Linked DNA regions of Oryzias latipes. The protein of the gene in region 1 interacts with the protein of each later gene in a biochemical or structural test. Links are inferred from orthologs where the notes say so. Each region holds a gene or a part of one and is shown in the gene's direction. Other genes may lie near its edges.

Region 1 (7,515 bases):
GATTGCTCTGCACAGACACGATTCGCTCCGTCCACCAGCAGCCGCGCGCAGCGACTGGGCGCCGCACAGAGGCGCACGTATCGCGCTCAGGCGCGTGCTTTTCAGTTGCCGCTGCTTTATTTTACTGGTGTGTTTTTTTTAACCAGCCCTGTTACTACCATAACGCTGCCGCGACACAAGCGCAAGGAGAGCTGCTCTCTCGTTCGCCCCTCTCACCACCGCTGCTCCTTGCTCATTCAATAAACACTGACAACAGTGTGGTGACCCAGGGAATAGCCCCGCCTTAACCCCCTAAGACTCATGGGAAATGGGGAATCGCGGATGTAAATTTCCTCATCATAACTGAGGGATGTAATGTTGATTATATGGTAACTGTAATTTTATGTATGATAACTCAATTGTCAATAAGTTAAAAAAAACTTAACATACACACAAAAAAAACCATAACTGAGGAACTTGTGATCAGGAATGAGGTCCATGCTGTTTGTTAAATGTGGGTATCTTCAAGTACATGAGCTGATGCTATGCCGACTCCTCCCACAGTGGGGTTAAAAGCAGTATTTAGTCTGGGAGTCTGGACATGCTGTGACAGGTTGGCCGCATTGCTGATTACACGCGGCTTGTACACTGCTGTGGCTTATGTGTGTATGAAGGTAGCTCAACACGTGAAAATGAGTGGGTGCGGCTTGTAATGGGTGCGCTCTATAACCCGGAATTTACGGTACTCTTTCTGGTTTGGTCATTGAAAATCTGCTAGAATGATGATGGTAAGCCTGATGCAGCTGCAAAGTTTTAAAATGTTCCAGTTGTAGCTTGCAAAAAGCTATGAAAGTTTGTCCAACATGAGTAAATGACACAGAATGAGGTTTCTTCAAAGCATAGAAGCATTAAAAAATGCTTTTAAAATCAATTGCTTTTACCAGAAAATGTTTAAGGTAATGCATCATCACCAAGTTTGTGCTTGTAGTTCTGATTTAAATGCATTTAATGATTCCTCTGTTGGTTTTCTTCAGTAACTACTTGCCTTTTTTCTTTTACTTCTCTACAAACATTTATAGTTTGCAAATACTGGAAGGTGGTCACTGATGTCAGTCCTCAGCAATCCACTTTTTATTCTGTTTTCTAGGCAGTTTGTGAATATATTGTCTATAAATGTCGCTCTATTTGTTGTTATTTTGCTCGGTTTGTTGATTAATGGATAGAAGCTTAAACTGTACATTTTATGAGTAAAATCTTCTGTTGTGATGTGATTGTTTTGTTTCAACAAATCCATATCAAAATTGCCACAAAGAAATATTACGTTTTTGGAGATATTAGCCAACATGTTTTCAATGGTACTTGTAAAAGTTTCAATGTTTGATGCAGGGGTTCGATACACGCCACTGACGTTACTCTGTTCCTCCATACTGATCTCTACAGATTCCATGACATCATCAATACAGCCAGACATCATTTCCACAACTTTGTGTTTAAGACTGTTGTGTATATAAAGAGCCACCCCCCCGCCTTGCTTATTTTTCCTGTTCCTGTTCACAAAGTGAAAATCATAGCTCTCAAGCTAGAAGTGCAAGTCCTTTATACACGGCTGAAATTGTTTGATTTATGTTCTTAATGCTGGAGAGTTAAACCTATTATTAAAAATAGATTCATATTTTAAAGTCTTTTGTATTTTTAATCAAATCGTTTTGTTTTTTTAATGGATAAAGTTGTGGTTGACGATTGAGGTAATTACTTTTAGGTACTTCTGACTGTAAGCTAACTCAAGCAGGAGATGATCTGCTTGGCATTTCACTGAGTTTTGTCTTTTTGTCATGGGCTGTTCCTTCTGTGTTTTCTCTTTTAGGTACCAGTTATTCACCACAAGAAAACTCTCACAACCATACTTCCCTTTATAGCTCCAACTCGGTTTCAAATCCAAACAAGACCTCAGACGCAGTAAGTGCTCCCCTCTGCTTTAGACAATGTGGACCAATGACTTGCTAAACATTGCTCACCTGGTCCTTAGTGACTGTTGCACCAAGATTTGAATATTTTATGCTGTCTTAATCTTTTGGTTAATTTTTTTTTTAATTCATTCCGTTAAAATAATTGGTGGTCATTCCTTCCTTTCAGTTTATTCTTCAGCTGTGTTCACACCGACTGCGATTCACGCGTTAGGGGCATCCAATTTTTAATCTTAAACTAATGTACGGACGTGGTCAGAGGTCCTGCAGCGCAATTAGGCGTGTGGCATCTACATGATTTGGGCGTTGCATCGAGAGTTCAAATACTTTGGCAAAAAAGACGCCTCGCATCAACCAATTAGGGACTCAGCTTTTGCCCATGACTTCTTGATGATGTCATCAGGGGGTGAAGTACAAAACCAACATGAAGGGGAATCGAATTGTTCTCCTCCTGAGCTTCATATTTTTTTCCATACTTTTATTTTCTAATTCTCTTATTCTTATTTTTCTTTTTTCCTTACTCGGACTAATGTGAGGCAGCAATTCGTCACACTGGGTCACCGAGAGACAGAAGTACCGCTGAAAGCGCCGTCTTTCAGACGACGCTCCTTCAGTAGATGGGGGGAAGCTCATGTACTGGGAGAATCTGAATGACCTAATGGAGACATGATTACCAATGTTTTTTTATCTGGAAAATAAATGAACCTGATCCCAACATCATCCGTGTCTTCCATGCACTCTAAATGGGATATAGAGACATGTATATCCCATTCACGTAGCGATGAAGTTAAAAACTTTGGAGAGTAGCTCCTCCCACATGCGTCTGGAGCATCACGTTCATGAACACAGTTTTTGGCAAGGGTCCAGTGGCAAATTTGTCACTCATCAAAAGAAATGCGCCTGACACAGATTTGACACATGAATCACCTTCGGTGTGAATGTAGCGTCATACTAATGACAACATAAAAATGCTTCAGTTTTAAAATGTTAAATGTAGATGTAAAGTAAATTCACACTGACGATGAAGGGTTAAAGGGGACTTTTCTGTCATAGGAGAGCTAATTCTCCCCTTCTGCTTCCATCCCATCCTCCTTTGCATTTTAGAACAGATTGCCGGCTATTGCATCAGACCTCTACCAAAACACCTGTCTGTCTGACAGGAAGCCATTTGTTTCTAAGTTTGTGTTCTTCTACTCAGCCTTTCGAGCCTGCTGATGACTGGTCAGAGCACATCAGTTCCTCTGGAAAGAAATATTATTACAACTGTAGGACAGAAGTTTCCCAGTGGGAGAAGCCCAAGGAATGGCTTGAGAGGTAGTTTTATGGTTTTTTTTCCACTAATGAAACAGTATTTGGCTTTGCACACTAAAGTACATTTGCACAAGTGTTGTTAAGCACAGATCTCTAACAGTGTTGTTGTATTTGCCGCTTAGAGAACAAAGGCAAAAAGAGGCAACAAAGACTGCTGTTGTCAACAATTTCCCAAAGGACAGGGACTACAGAAGGGAGGCTATGCAAGCAACAGCAGCCCCTGGCTTTACTGGTCCTAGTAAGTGTTGCACAGATCTTTTCTGACTCATCTCACTAAATCACACTTACTTTGTTTTATTGGTCAGACTGTTAATTATGTTTTAACCTAGCAGCTAGTATGGCTAATGCTTAGCAGATAAAACATTTTGTCAGGCATGTCAAATGTTTTGATCATATTACAGGTCTTCGGTGTAAAGAGCATTCTACTCATCACTGAATAACAAAGTTGTAGATTATTTCTCACAGGTCACTGGATATTATTTAGCTGTCAAGTTGTGTGGTGCCTCTGGTGCTTATAGGTCTATAAATCAATTACCTGATTTAAAGCACCTGTTAATATGGGCTGATTGCAAATCTCTTCCAGAAAACAAGAAATTAAAAACTAGTGATCCTTGGGGTTTACGGTTCAGCCATGATCTGTCGCACCCCTACCTTACAACTAGGTTTTATCTGATGGAATTGCACTGAAATTACTTATATACAGTAATCCCTCATTTTGGTGCAGGAGCTGCGTTCTAAAAATAACTTATAATAGACAAAATCTAATATTTGTGCAATGATTTAAGGCTAAATCCCCTCACTACACACTATACACTTTTCTCAGTCAGACATGAACATTTTTACACTTTTCTCTCGTTTAAACTCTCAAAGTTCAAACCTTCATAGGAAAAATAAGTTCAGGATTGTAGAATGAGACCAAAGATCTGCTGAAGGCTTTCTATACAAGAGAAACGGCACAGAGATTGACTGTGAATGCCTTACAACCAATCAGGACACGAAACATAATGTAAAAAAAAAAGCAAAAGGCATGCAAAATTGCACTTAAATGTTAAGACAGCAAAAGATCGACAGCGATATTGAGGGACCACTATACTTCACAGACGACCTCACAAATAAAAAAGTTTTTTTTGTTTTGGTAAATTATTTTGACAAAATGCAAGTGTGAGCTAATATATTATATTCTTTTGTGACTGATATGTTTAAGTGATTTTATTAGAACTGAAACTGGCAGATTACAGTTAACATAGTTTTAGCTCTTTGTTGGGCTAGAAAAACGTATCAGTAGTGAATGTTTCAGATCCAAAACCATCTGATCACACCAACAAACCTGCCAACTCCAGTCTCAACAAAATTAGGAGAATAGATGCTTTTAGCTCCTCTTTTCCAATGTTGGTTACATTGAAGTCATCATAGTACTACTTTTTAGCCTCTGGTACCTCTAGTTGTTATTGAGTAGGTACTAGTATGTAGTACATTTAGCATTTTCCAGGTGTTTTTATCAACAGGTGAAATGAAGCACTTCTACTTAAAACAAATTGGTACTGCAGCTACGTTTGTCTTTTCATTTTAATCCTTTTGTCTGCTCTTTATATGTTCTGAAATTCTGAATTTCAGTACATTTTATGTTTTTGTTTATTTATTTTCTACTAAGGATTGTAATTTCTCCCACCTAGACTCTCTGCAGTTAAAGAATTTAAATTCAGAAAACTGCTTAGCTAATACATGTTGGTAATTTTCCGGAGATTTCGCATTTGATCTCAGTCTCTATTGTAAAACTCATTCATTGTGTTATGATCTGAGAATCCACATGATGTGGGTGCTGGTTTGTCTGTGTAGGTTGTAGCAGGAGAGATTACCGGTTACATGCAGGGTTAGTGGTGTGTGGACACTGAGCGCCAGGTTGCATAATGATTTCTTGTCGTATAAATGAAAAGAGCTGTGACAGTGTGGGATTTTTTATTTTTGATACCTATCTAACTAATGAACTAACCATATGGGTGCTGTAGAATGACTATGCGTGTCTGTGTCAGCGTGCTGCGTGTGGAGGAAGGACCGCGTACAAGTGTGTTGGGGGGTGCGTGTTGATTCTTCTGCAGCGGAGTGCTCTGGAGCTGCATGCGAGGCTTCACCTGTGCTCTCTGGTACAGACATCTTCTCAGAATATTATATATTGCCCAGTAATAAACGAGACTGCAGACACTTTGTCACCTTTCCGGTAGCCATGAAGCCTGACATCCATGAAGAACGCAGGGCAGGAGGCTAGGGTTTTGTTTATACAGACACGAAACGTTGTGCTGCACAAAATAGTTCCCAAACAAAACATGTAGTGATATTCATCGAAATTTAACAGTTCGTGTTTGGTATTACAGAGTGAAGGAGAACAGGAATAATCCCCCAACCCCCCCAACACAAAGTCCTCCGGTGGGCGGCCGTGTCGCGCACTTAAGAAAGCGCTCAGCTTGTAATGGAAATGCATAATTAGAACGCAGTAAATTTGTCATATTTCCTCAAGAGACGGAAACTTCTGTTGTAGAATGAGGATGTGTATGTGCTTCTGAAACCGCGTGTTTTGTGTAAGTAGAGTGAGCCGCGTCCTGCGCCACTCACCTCTTGCGCTGCACGTGGCTCTAAGAGGGAGTGAGAGGCGCGGCGCAGGGAGTGAAGGAGAACATTAATAAAAGGTTTCCCCCAGAAACCCTTAAAGTCTGAGCACAGGACTAGCAGAAAAAGTAAATTATCAGCAAAGATGAATGTGTTTAGTGTGTTTATTATAGTTCCAATCACGGACCATATTCAGAACCTTCACACAAAAAAACTATCAAAAAAAAAAAAGGTGATGAGGTCATCACTCCGGTGATGCGGTTATCATCACGCCCCTATAAATGAATCATCCAACACTGAGGAAGACTTCCATGGTTTCAGTGCACAGGAGGAAGATGAAGAAAGCTCTGTGACGTTTACGTTCATTTTTTTTAAACCAGCCCTGTTGGCGCTGTGTTACGGTGTGTCACTGTTGTGGAAGAAAACTTCCAGCCCCCTCCTTCGCAGCGCTTGCCTCTGTGTTACTGCTGCTCTCAGTGACTTTTACCGGTATGTTTTTTTAACCAGCCCTGTCACTACCATATTGCTGCCGTGTCACAGGCACTGTTTGGAAAGAAAAGCTCAGGTATATTATTACAACTTTGAAAACTCCTTCTGTGTACCTTCTTTATTTGTAAATATATTACATGTTGAACCTTTCCTGCGATTACTTTTTTCTTTCTTTCTTTCTTTTCCTTTCTTTCTTTCTTTGCATTGGGTCCCATTTTTAAAACATTTGCTGTGACTCGGCCGTGGATTTGAACTTATGGCCTTCCAGTTTCAGGGGGACACTCTACTCCAAGGCTGAGCTGTCAAAAGGAAAATAAATGTTGTCCATAGCTGCTTAATTTCTTTTTTCTTTGCTTGTATTTTGCATTTGAAACCCATTTGAAATGGCATTTTGAATGTTAGACAGTCTTTCACAGACATCTGATGCATCCCTTTTGATGACAATGATATGAAAATCCTTTGCTGCATTTCACTCATGAATACCGGTACACACGTTTGGGCAATGTGAAAAGTTTAGACAAAGCAGTTTAAGGAAAACGCCCCGACTCGTTGATCTGCTTAATTAACTTGACAATCATAGTTTTTATTTGAATCTTTATTGGTGGCTCCAACAGAGCCCAGCAGCTCATCCAGGTCACAACACACCTTCACCGGGTCGTGCTGTGGAGTCGACTCAAGACTCTTGTTGCTGGGTGTTTTTCACATTAGGACACTGTGTTGTGTTTAATAGACAGTAATTTTCTTTAAAAAAAATACTCCCCGTCACAAGGCCAGGTTTTATTTGTTGCTTTTGTGATGACATTTACTTTCTGCTGCTCATGTTTAACACTAAGTTAGCATTTAAAGAGCCACTTTGATAAACAGTTGTGTTTTTGGTGTTTTTAACATGTTCTCGTGGCATTTGTCTGATGGAGGGCTTGTATAAAAAAAAAGCCTAAATTAAATTTTTGTGCATTTCTCCATCAAATTGTTGTGAATCAGGAGCAAATGTAAAAGTGCAGTTAGAAAAAGAGCGGATTTTTATGTCAACGAGCTTCATTCTTCGCTCCATCCTGATGCATCCATTGGTAAACAAATAGATCCATGAATGTCTTTGTTTTCCTCGTCTGAGCTGGAATCTGGATCAAAACTGTACGAATGGATAGCTTTGATGTTTCTCTCCACTTTTGTA
Region 2 (7,614 bases), on another chromosome or scaffold:
TCCCTTATAATAATAATTTGTGGCACAGAAGAGCACTTTGTGCACACATAGTAGTCTTTTAGGTGCACAAATAGCATTTCATGTGCACAAACCAGCATTTTGTGCACGCAAAATAATGCTTTGTGGGAAATTTAGCATTTTGTTTGCACATATGAGTATTTTGTGTGCACAAAATGCATTTCAATAACTATTTTTTAACACATATTAGGCCTTTGTGCAAACAAAATGCATTTAAAACACACAAATAGCATTTCACACGCACAAACTAGCATTTTGTGCACGCAAATTAATATTTTGTGGGGAATTGAGCATTTTGTGTGCACAAATGAGCACGTTGTGCACAAATTAGTCATTTGTTTGTGCAAAAAATGTACTTTTTTAAGCACACAAATAGGCATTTGTATGGAATATATTAGCATTTCGTGCACACAAATTACTTTTTAAGTGCATAAATTAGCATGCTGTGCGCGCAAACTCGTGTTTCATGGTCTAAATGAAAATTTTGTGTGCACAAATTTGTATTTTGTGTGGACAAATTTGTATTTTGTGGGCACACATTAGCATTTCGTTAGCATTTTGTTTGCTCATTTTAGCACAATTTAGTGGCCACTAAATGTTAATTTTGTAAACACAAAACACATATTCATGGCCACAAATTCTTTATTTAAGGAAACAATTTATAAATTCTTTCTGAATTTCCTGGGCCGCATCGTTAACAACACTGCCAGTTGCAACAAACCAGCAACCTTTAAAAGCATGTGTTTTATTTCACTGTGCAAATCAGCCATACACCATGTTTATCCTTGTGTTTATCCTTGTGTTTTCTGTCATCAAAACCTGCATCCGTTTTGCTCACTTTTGTGCAATTCAGTTGTGTCATGTGTGACCAGATTGCTCCAAATTGAAGTTTTCCAAAACTGCCTTTCTACGACAACTGATTTCGACAAAAAGATCTTTGAGCTTACATGTCGGGTTGCATCTGCAACACGAAAATAATGGCCTGCTAGTTTTTACACAACTTGGACTCTGCTCCCTGTGCAATGTTCCTTTAACACTACAGATAAGCAGAGGTTAGTTTTAATGAGTTCAAGAGCTTTTCATTTAAAAAAAATACTTTTTTTGCACAAGCGTAGAGGCAAGAGATTTTGTCACCCAATCAGTTCTACCCAGTAACTTAGTGAGAGTACATTTAATAAAGATTTATTAGTAACATCCTTATGGTAGTAGTTGAGTGAATACATGTTTATGTTTCATTTCTGATGGAAAACTACCAGCTAAAACCCCAAATCTTTTGATAAATTAGGAATTTGTGACCTCGAGGTAAAAACCAACCCAGAATAATCATGTGATCCTCTGGTTTGTCATGTGGAAACACTGTGGACTTTACTCTATTTTTAGGAAATAAGAGGGTCTGCTAATCAAAATTGTAGTGAGATTCATCAAAACTTTGATATTAAACACATAGATTCATATAGATTTTGTTAATAATTGCACACAAGACTTGTGTTATTCTCCAAACAGCTGCTGCATGGGTAAATTTCCTATTAAGGTTTTAGCTCACTTTAAGAGCCTGTTCACAAATAAAGTGATCTCTTGGCACTTCATATAAGTTAGGGTTATAAGGTCATAAGTTGAAATGATAAGCTACATTCCAGTTACATTCATGATCATTGTTTATTTATGAAGCATAATTGGAATTGCAACCGCTTGAACAAAATATAGGCAAGAGAAAAGCATGTAAGGCAATCCCAGGCAAAACAATAAAAATATAAACAATTAAAAGTATAGCAGAAATACAATATGTAACATTTTTTCTTAACGATTTTCCCTCATACATTTTACTTATTAAGAATAGGAGGAAAAAAGTTAATTAAGCCTCACTTTTGAGGGAGAACCTTCCACATGGTGAAGAGCCTTTGTTATTTTGACTGGCGTGCTAAAAAAAATAAAGCTTGATTCAATTCTGTTCCTCTCTGTAGATATAAAAGGTGAACAGTTATACTTTACTGAAAAGTATTTCTTTTCAGTTATCTCAGCTAATTGTTGTTTGGTATTATATTTAGATGAGTATCCTTCTTGTGTTGACTTGTGTTTTCAGATTTAAATGAAAATGCGATTACAATCATTACTTAAACCCACTAGAATTTTTTTTAATCTTATTTTGTTTTGAATTTTTAGGGAGAAGACTAATCTAACTTTGGCAGTCAATAAAATATCAAAATATGAGAAGAATTGTCATAGCATAATAGATACGATTACTTTTCTATGAATTCCAAAACATCACAGAAACAGTGAGACGTGTAAGGTCAACCAAACTCCCATGTTGTGGAAGTACTGTATATAATTGAGGATGAAAACTGTTATCTAAAGGAACTATACCCTTTTACTAACAAGAATATCTTGATATCTTTTATCTCTTTAGCAAATACTTCCTCTCAAATACTGCTTGTGAACACACCTAACTCGCTCTATGTGTCTTTTGGTACTTCACTGTTTGCACCTTATCTTATTACTGTGTGTAGAGAAATTAGTAAGTAGAAATTAAAAAAACATAGAACAATTCTTATTTAAATTTAAAGCTCATAATATGGTTCTTACAATGTGTGAAAACAGGAAATATGTTTTTTTTCACATTGTTTTGGGAAAAGGATCTGCACATAAATAATTCTAGAGCTTCTAAAGGTAGTCGAATTTTTCCTTTAAGAAAAATACTTCAAAGAGGTAAGTATTTGACTTCTTCAACTTTAACTTTATTTATTATGTATTTATATTTAGCTGGGGGTGGGGTCAAATACACTCATTGGTTATGTAGTTCTATTGGTCCCAATTATTTACTCTTATGTTGCCAGAGGAAATATTTTTCTATAGGTATTTCTTTGACATAATGCTCCTCTTACTTAAGGACAACTTTTTGGCTACTCTCAGGCACAAAAAATGATACGTTCCTGCAGTGGAAGATATAAAAAAAGGGAAAGCTGTTTTTTCTGTGCAGTAGATGCACTGTTTTCAAGCCCAACACCTATAACAAACAAGTGACCAGAACTAAAAGTCCCCTAACTGCTAATACCTCCTCCACGACAGCAGGGGGCGCAGTCTCCGCCGAAAAAGTGTTATTCGTAAGTGAACACCACTTCCGTTTCCTTGGGCCACGGAGCCGCAATATCAACAACCTCAGACGGGCGGGTTCTGTTTTTTTACACATAACGGTTGAAATTGGTAAGATTTAAGTGTGGGTCAACGTTTCAAAACATGACACATCTGTCCGTTTCATTTATCGGTTCCCAATGTAATATAGATAAAATCGCTAGCTAAAGTTGGCGCTTGGCTAACGCTAGCATAACCATATTCCTCCAGACAGACGATTTGAGCTATGAATTTCCTTGGTTTCTCTTGTTTTTGGGTTCAGACTGATCGTGTATTTTATCATCGAATTCATTTTCTTGGTCAATCCGAATTCCTGCTTAAGTTCTGTATGTTTTCTTTGTTTCAGAATCCGAGGATGTCGGGACAGAAGCGTCCTGCAGACTCCGGTGGGCCATCGTCCTCCGGTGGCCCACCGGAGAAGCGTCGGGAGAAGGAAGGAGAGGAGGGAGGTGCCGGCGTCAGTAGCGCTGCTGGGGGGAGCACCGCTGTGGAAACGGTCATCAAACTGGGAGGAGTGTCAAACTCTGTAAGACCTTTTCAATCTTCACCAATATCTTAAACGATCTCATCTCAAAACATGGATTTTTTTGTATGAATAGCTATATATAATATTATACTTTTATTTTTCAGGAGGAACAGGACATCAAAGCTCTTCAAGCCAAAAACCGAAAGCTGGGAGAAGCTCTCGATCAAAGACAGGTTTATTCATTTTTTCTTTTAGCAATCTCAGCCTTTTGCATACATCGAAGCCCTGATCTTTTTGAACATGTAATGAAGCTTGGTTTATTTTTCTGCAGGTGATTGAAGATGAGCTGCGGGAGCGGATTGAAAGACTGGAGACCCGTCAGGCTACCGATGATGCTAGTCTGTTGATCCTTAACAGATACTGGAACCAGGTATGTATCCTCAAAACAAAACCACAGTCTGCTGGATTTTCTCTCAGAACCCGTAACAATGGAACACCGTAAATTATCTTTCAGTTTGACGAAAACGTTCGACTGATCATCAGGCGATATGATCAAGGAAGCAGTGAGCCTGAGAAATCTCCAACAGGCGAGGGAAGAAGCTTGAAGCCTGAAACTCCTGAACCCGATGGTGACTCGAACCAGGAAAGAGCTAAAGACAGAAGTAAGGACTGTCCTCTATTTGAACAGAAACTATTAGGCCTCGTTTTACTTAATAGAAACACAAAATATTAACTTTGCTTCCTAAATTTGTCATGCAGCCCATCAGGGAGAGACCTCCAATTCCTTCTTGGCCACACTGGCCAGCAGCACCAGTGAGGAGATGGAGGCGGAGCTCCAGGAGAGGGTGGAGTCAAGCCAGAAGCAGGCCCAACGCGTGGTGGACGTTTATGAGAATCTGAAGAGCACTGTGGACCAGCTTCAGACAGAGTTGGATTCAGGCACTGGTGAGGTTTTCTGTGGAGGAACACGGGAACATTGTTCTGTATTGGAGTCAGATTTGAACACAATAAAGATAGCTTACATATTTTTAATATTCTTTCAGAGGGTAGTTTTTGGCAGGTGGTCTCCAAGCTGAACGTCCTGCTGACGAGTGAAAACGAACGGCTTCAGCAGCTGACAGAGGATCTGAAGCAGAGACACAGTCACATGACGAGCGAGGTAAAGAGCCTTTAGTTTGTTATTAGAGAATTTCTGTAGGAGGTTCATAAAATTTTAAGTACACTTTCTGCAAGTCATGAAAAAAAATCCTTATTCTTATCTGTCCTCCCCAGTCTCGGGCTTTGGGTCGTGCTACGAACAAGGCAGACCAGCGAGTCACAGAACTTCAAGCCCGGATCGAGGAGCTGCAGTGGGACATGGAGAAGATCCGCCGCAGAGAGAATAGACTAAACGCTCACCTGAGTGAAATCCTGGAGAGGGTAGGAAAGCTGAAACTTGACAACTTACATGATTTTATACTATTTGTGTCTTTTCTAACATTACTTCTGTCTCAGGTAAACAGCAAAGGCTACAAAGTGTGTGGAGAGGCCAGCAGTGTATGTGGAACCATAACTATTAACAAGAGAAAGGTAAAAGGTTTGCTTTTTAATGTAAAATTTGGCAGCTAATAACACACTCCTGATCAAAATCTTAGATCCCGTGTCTTGGTAGACAGCCCTTTGGATCCTCCGGCCCAGTGCCGCTTAATGTCCTTTGGGTCAACCTCTGCAGCGATAGCATGTTGTGGGAGGTCCATCTTTTGCAGCTTAACAATCCTTCCATGTTCAAAGAAATTGGGATTTTTTGCCTTTTGCTATCAAGAGACCTTGACAGGATGATTACTTATTAAAAATTACAATTGAATTTGGGTGCAGATTCTAGCTTTTAAGGCTGTGGTCTTAAAGGATGAACAGTCCTTTTCATTTAAATTGTTATGTCTAATAAATTGGCAGCTAAAATATTTGTTCTCTTGCTCCTCTTTCTTCTTTTTGCGTTTTGAAGCTCTATTTAGAGCCTTCTTGCAAATTCTTGCATTTTTACTGGTCTTAAGGTTTTGGTCAGAAGTGTATTGTTGTTTTTCTTCTGTGTCTTTCTGCCTCACTTGTTATATGTTTTTGACAGTTTGAGGAAATGAACAGCGAATTGGAGGAGAACAGAGAACTGGCAGAGAATCGCCTCATAGAGCTGCAGAAGCTCCAGCAGGACCTGCAAAATGTTCAACAAGAAAACAACAATGTGACGGTATCATAGCACCCGAATTAGGAAACAAAAAATTGATGTATACTTTCAAACTGCTGTTCCAAACCTCTTTCTTTCCCCTCATTTCAGGCTGAGATTCTAAGTCGAGCTGAGGGTTTAGTTAAAGACACATCAGAGTATCGCTGTCTGCAGTCGCAGTTTTCTGTTCTCTACAACGAGTCGCTGACTCTAAAGTCTCAGTTAGATGAGACACGGGCTCGCCTCAACACCACCCGGACCGCACGGCTTCGACAGCTGGAGCACATGGAGGTTTGTTCAGCCACCGTTCATGTACTGAGACCTTTGTTTTTTTTTGCCCGTTTTACCCATTCTTGCCCCCTCTGAGTGCAGAACGATGAGGTGGCTCTGCAGAGGAAGGTTCGGACAGAAGTGTTCCAGCTGGAGGACACGCTGGCTCAGGTGAAGAAGGAGTATGAGATGTTACGGATCGAGTTTGAGCAGACTCTTGCTGCCAACGAGCAAGCAGGTAACAGGTTTGGCTTCTAATATGTATACGCTCAGTTAAAATATGAAATTAGATTACAATTTTCTAACTTTAAATCCCTTCAACCTTCTTTATCAAGGTCCAATCAACAGAGAGATGCGACATCTTATTAGCACACTGCAAACCCACAACCAGCAGCTGAAGGGGGAAGTTGTGAAATACAAGTTGAGACTGAGGGAGACACAAGCTGAGCTCAACAAGGTAAGTCACACCGAGGTCAAAACTGGCTCTGACCTTGTAGTATCTATCACCTGCGGGTCAAATGAAACTCGCAGGATCTTTGCCATCGACCCCAAAATCCTCCTAAAGACGCCTGAATTTTCATGTAGGTCTGTGCCTCAAAGGGAAGCAGCATCCTTCAGTCGCAGTCGAGCACAGAGATGGACGTGAAAGACGAGACCACCTCTCCATCAATCACCACAGTTTCTGGGGAACCTGCGGTCAAGACGGAGCCAGATAATGGTTCCTCCACACCCAGCAGCACTGGTATCTACCATTCTTATTGTTTCTTTAACTACATCAATATAATATTTTTTCTATAGCTAGCTTTTCTTTTCCCGCAGGTGCCTCAGTGAAAACAGAGTCTGGTGTTGAGGCAGATGCCAACGTAAAGGAAGAAGAAAAGGATGAGAAGAGAGAGAAAGACGAAAAGAGAGAGAAGGACTTTATCAAGAAAGAGGAGAAAGAGAGGGAGCGGGAGAAGGAGAAGGAAAAAGAGAGAGAGAGACCCACCCGCAGCAGCGGGAGCAGTAATGTGATCAAAGAGGAGAAGCCAGGAGGCAGCAGCCAGCCGGAGGAGTCTGCGGCGGAGCGGATTTCTATGACTGGGGGCTCCAAGAGGAAGGAAATGGAGCAGCTGAAGATTATCCGAGCAGAGCTGAAGTATGTGAGAAATTTGAAAATGGAAAACTATTTCTCATAGAAGCTTTTTTTATTGTAGATGGTGTATGGAAACCTTATCTATTCATATTGTGATGATTTATTCTTATTATTATCACATCATCCTGTCTTGTAGGAAGGCTCAGGAGTCCCAGAGGGAGATGAAGCTGCTGCTGGACATGTATCGCTCAGCCCCCAAGGAGCAGAGGGATAAAGTTCAGCTCATGGCTGCAGAGAAGAAAACTAAGTCAGAGGTAACCGACTCTCTGTGAGACTGCCCAGACGGCGTGTCTGCATAACCGCATGAGATATTAACAGAGGAAAAAAATCAAAGTGCTGTATCAGTGAGTGGAGGAGCATAAAAGCATCCTAAATGTGCAGCTGTTTGTCAGCTTTAGGATT

The links.
Region 2: the proteins of wac (region 1) and rnf20 form a complex in vitro, tested with the Homo sapiens proteins (2 studies listed by BioGRID). The link is inferred for Oryzias latipes from reciprocal best matches to the Homo sapiens genes WAC and RNF20.

What each region holds. Positions count from the first base shown.
Region 1 is NC_019878.2:7,927,194-7,934,708, reverse strand, and holds part of wac (WW domain-containing adapter protein with coiled-coil), read left to right. Parts: intron 1-1,843; coding exon 1,844-1,935; intron 1,936-3,141; coding exon 3,142-3,257; intron 3,258-3,376; coding exon 3,377-3,492; intron 3,493-7,515.
Region 2 is NC_019868.2:15,970,042-15,977,655, reverse strand, and holds the start of rnf20 (E3 ubiquitin-protein ligase BRE1A), read left to right. Parts: upstream 1-3,107; 5' UTR 3,108-3,216; intron 3,217-3,490; 5' UTR 3,491-3,499; coding exon 3,500-3,670; intron 3,671-3,774; coding exon 3,775-3,843; intron 3,844-3,941; coding exon 3,942-4,040; intron 4,041-4,124; coding exon 4,125-4,272; intron 4,273-4,369; coding exon 4,370-4,555; intron 4,556-4,653; coding exon 4,654-4,769; intron 4,770-4,882; coding exon 4,883-5,029; intron 5,030-5,104; coding exon 5,105-5,179; intron 5,180-5,711; coding exon 5,712-5,831; intron 5,832-5,918; coding exon 5,919-6,098; intron 6,099-6,179; coding exon 6,180-6,315; intron 6,316-6,412; coding exon 6,413-6,534; intron 6,535-6,662; coding exon 6,663-6,819; intron 6,820-6,896; coding exon 6,897-7,215; intron 7,216-7,348; coding exon 7,349-7,466; intron 7,467-7,614. UniProt on the Homo sapiens protein: Component of the RNF20/40 E3 ubiquitin-protein ligase complex that mediates monoubiquitination of 'Lys-120' of histone H2B (H2BK120ub1).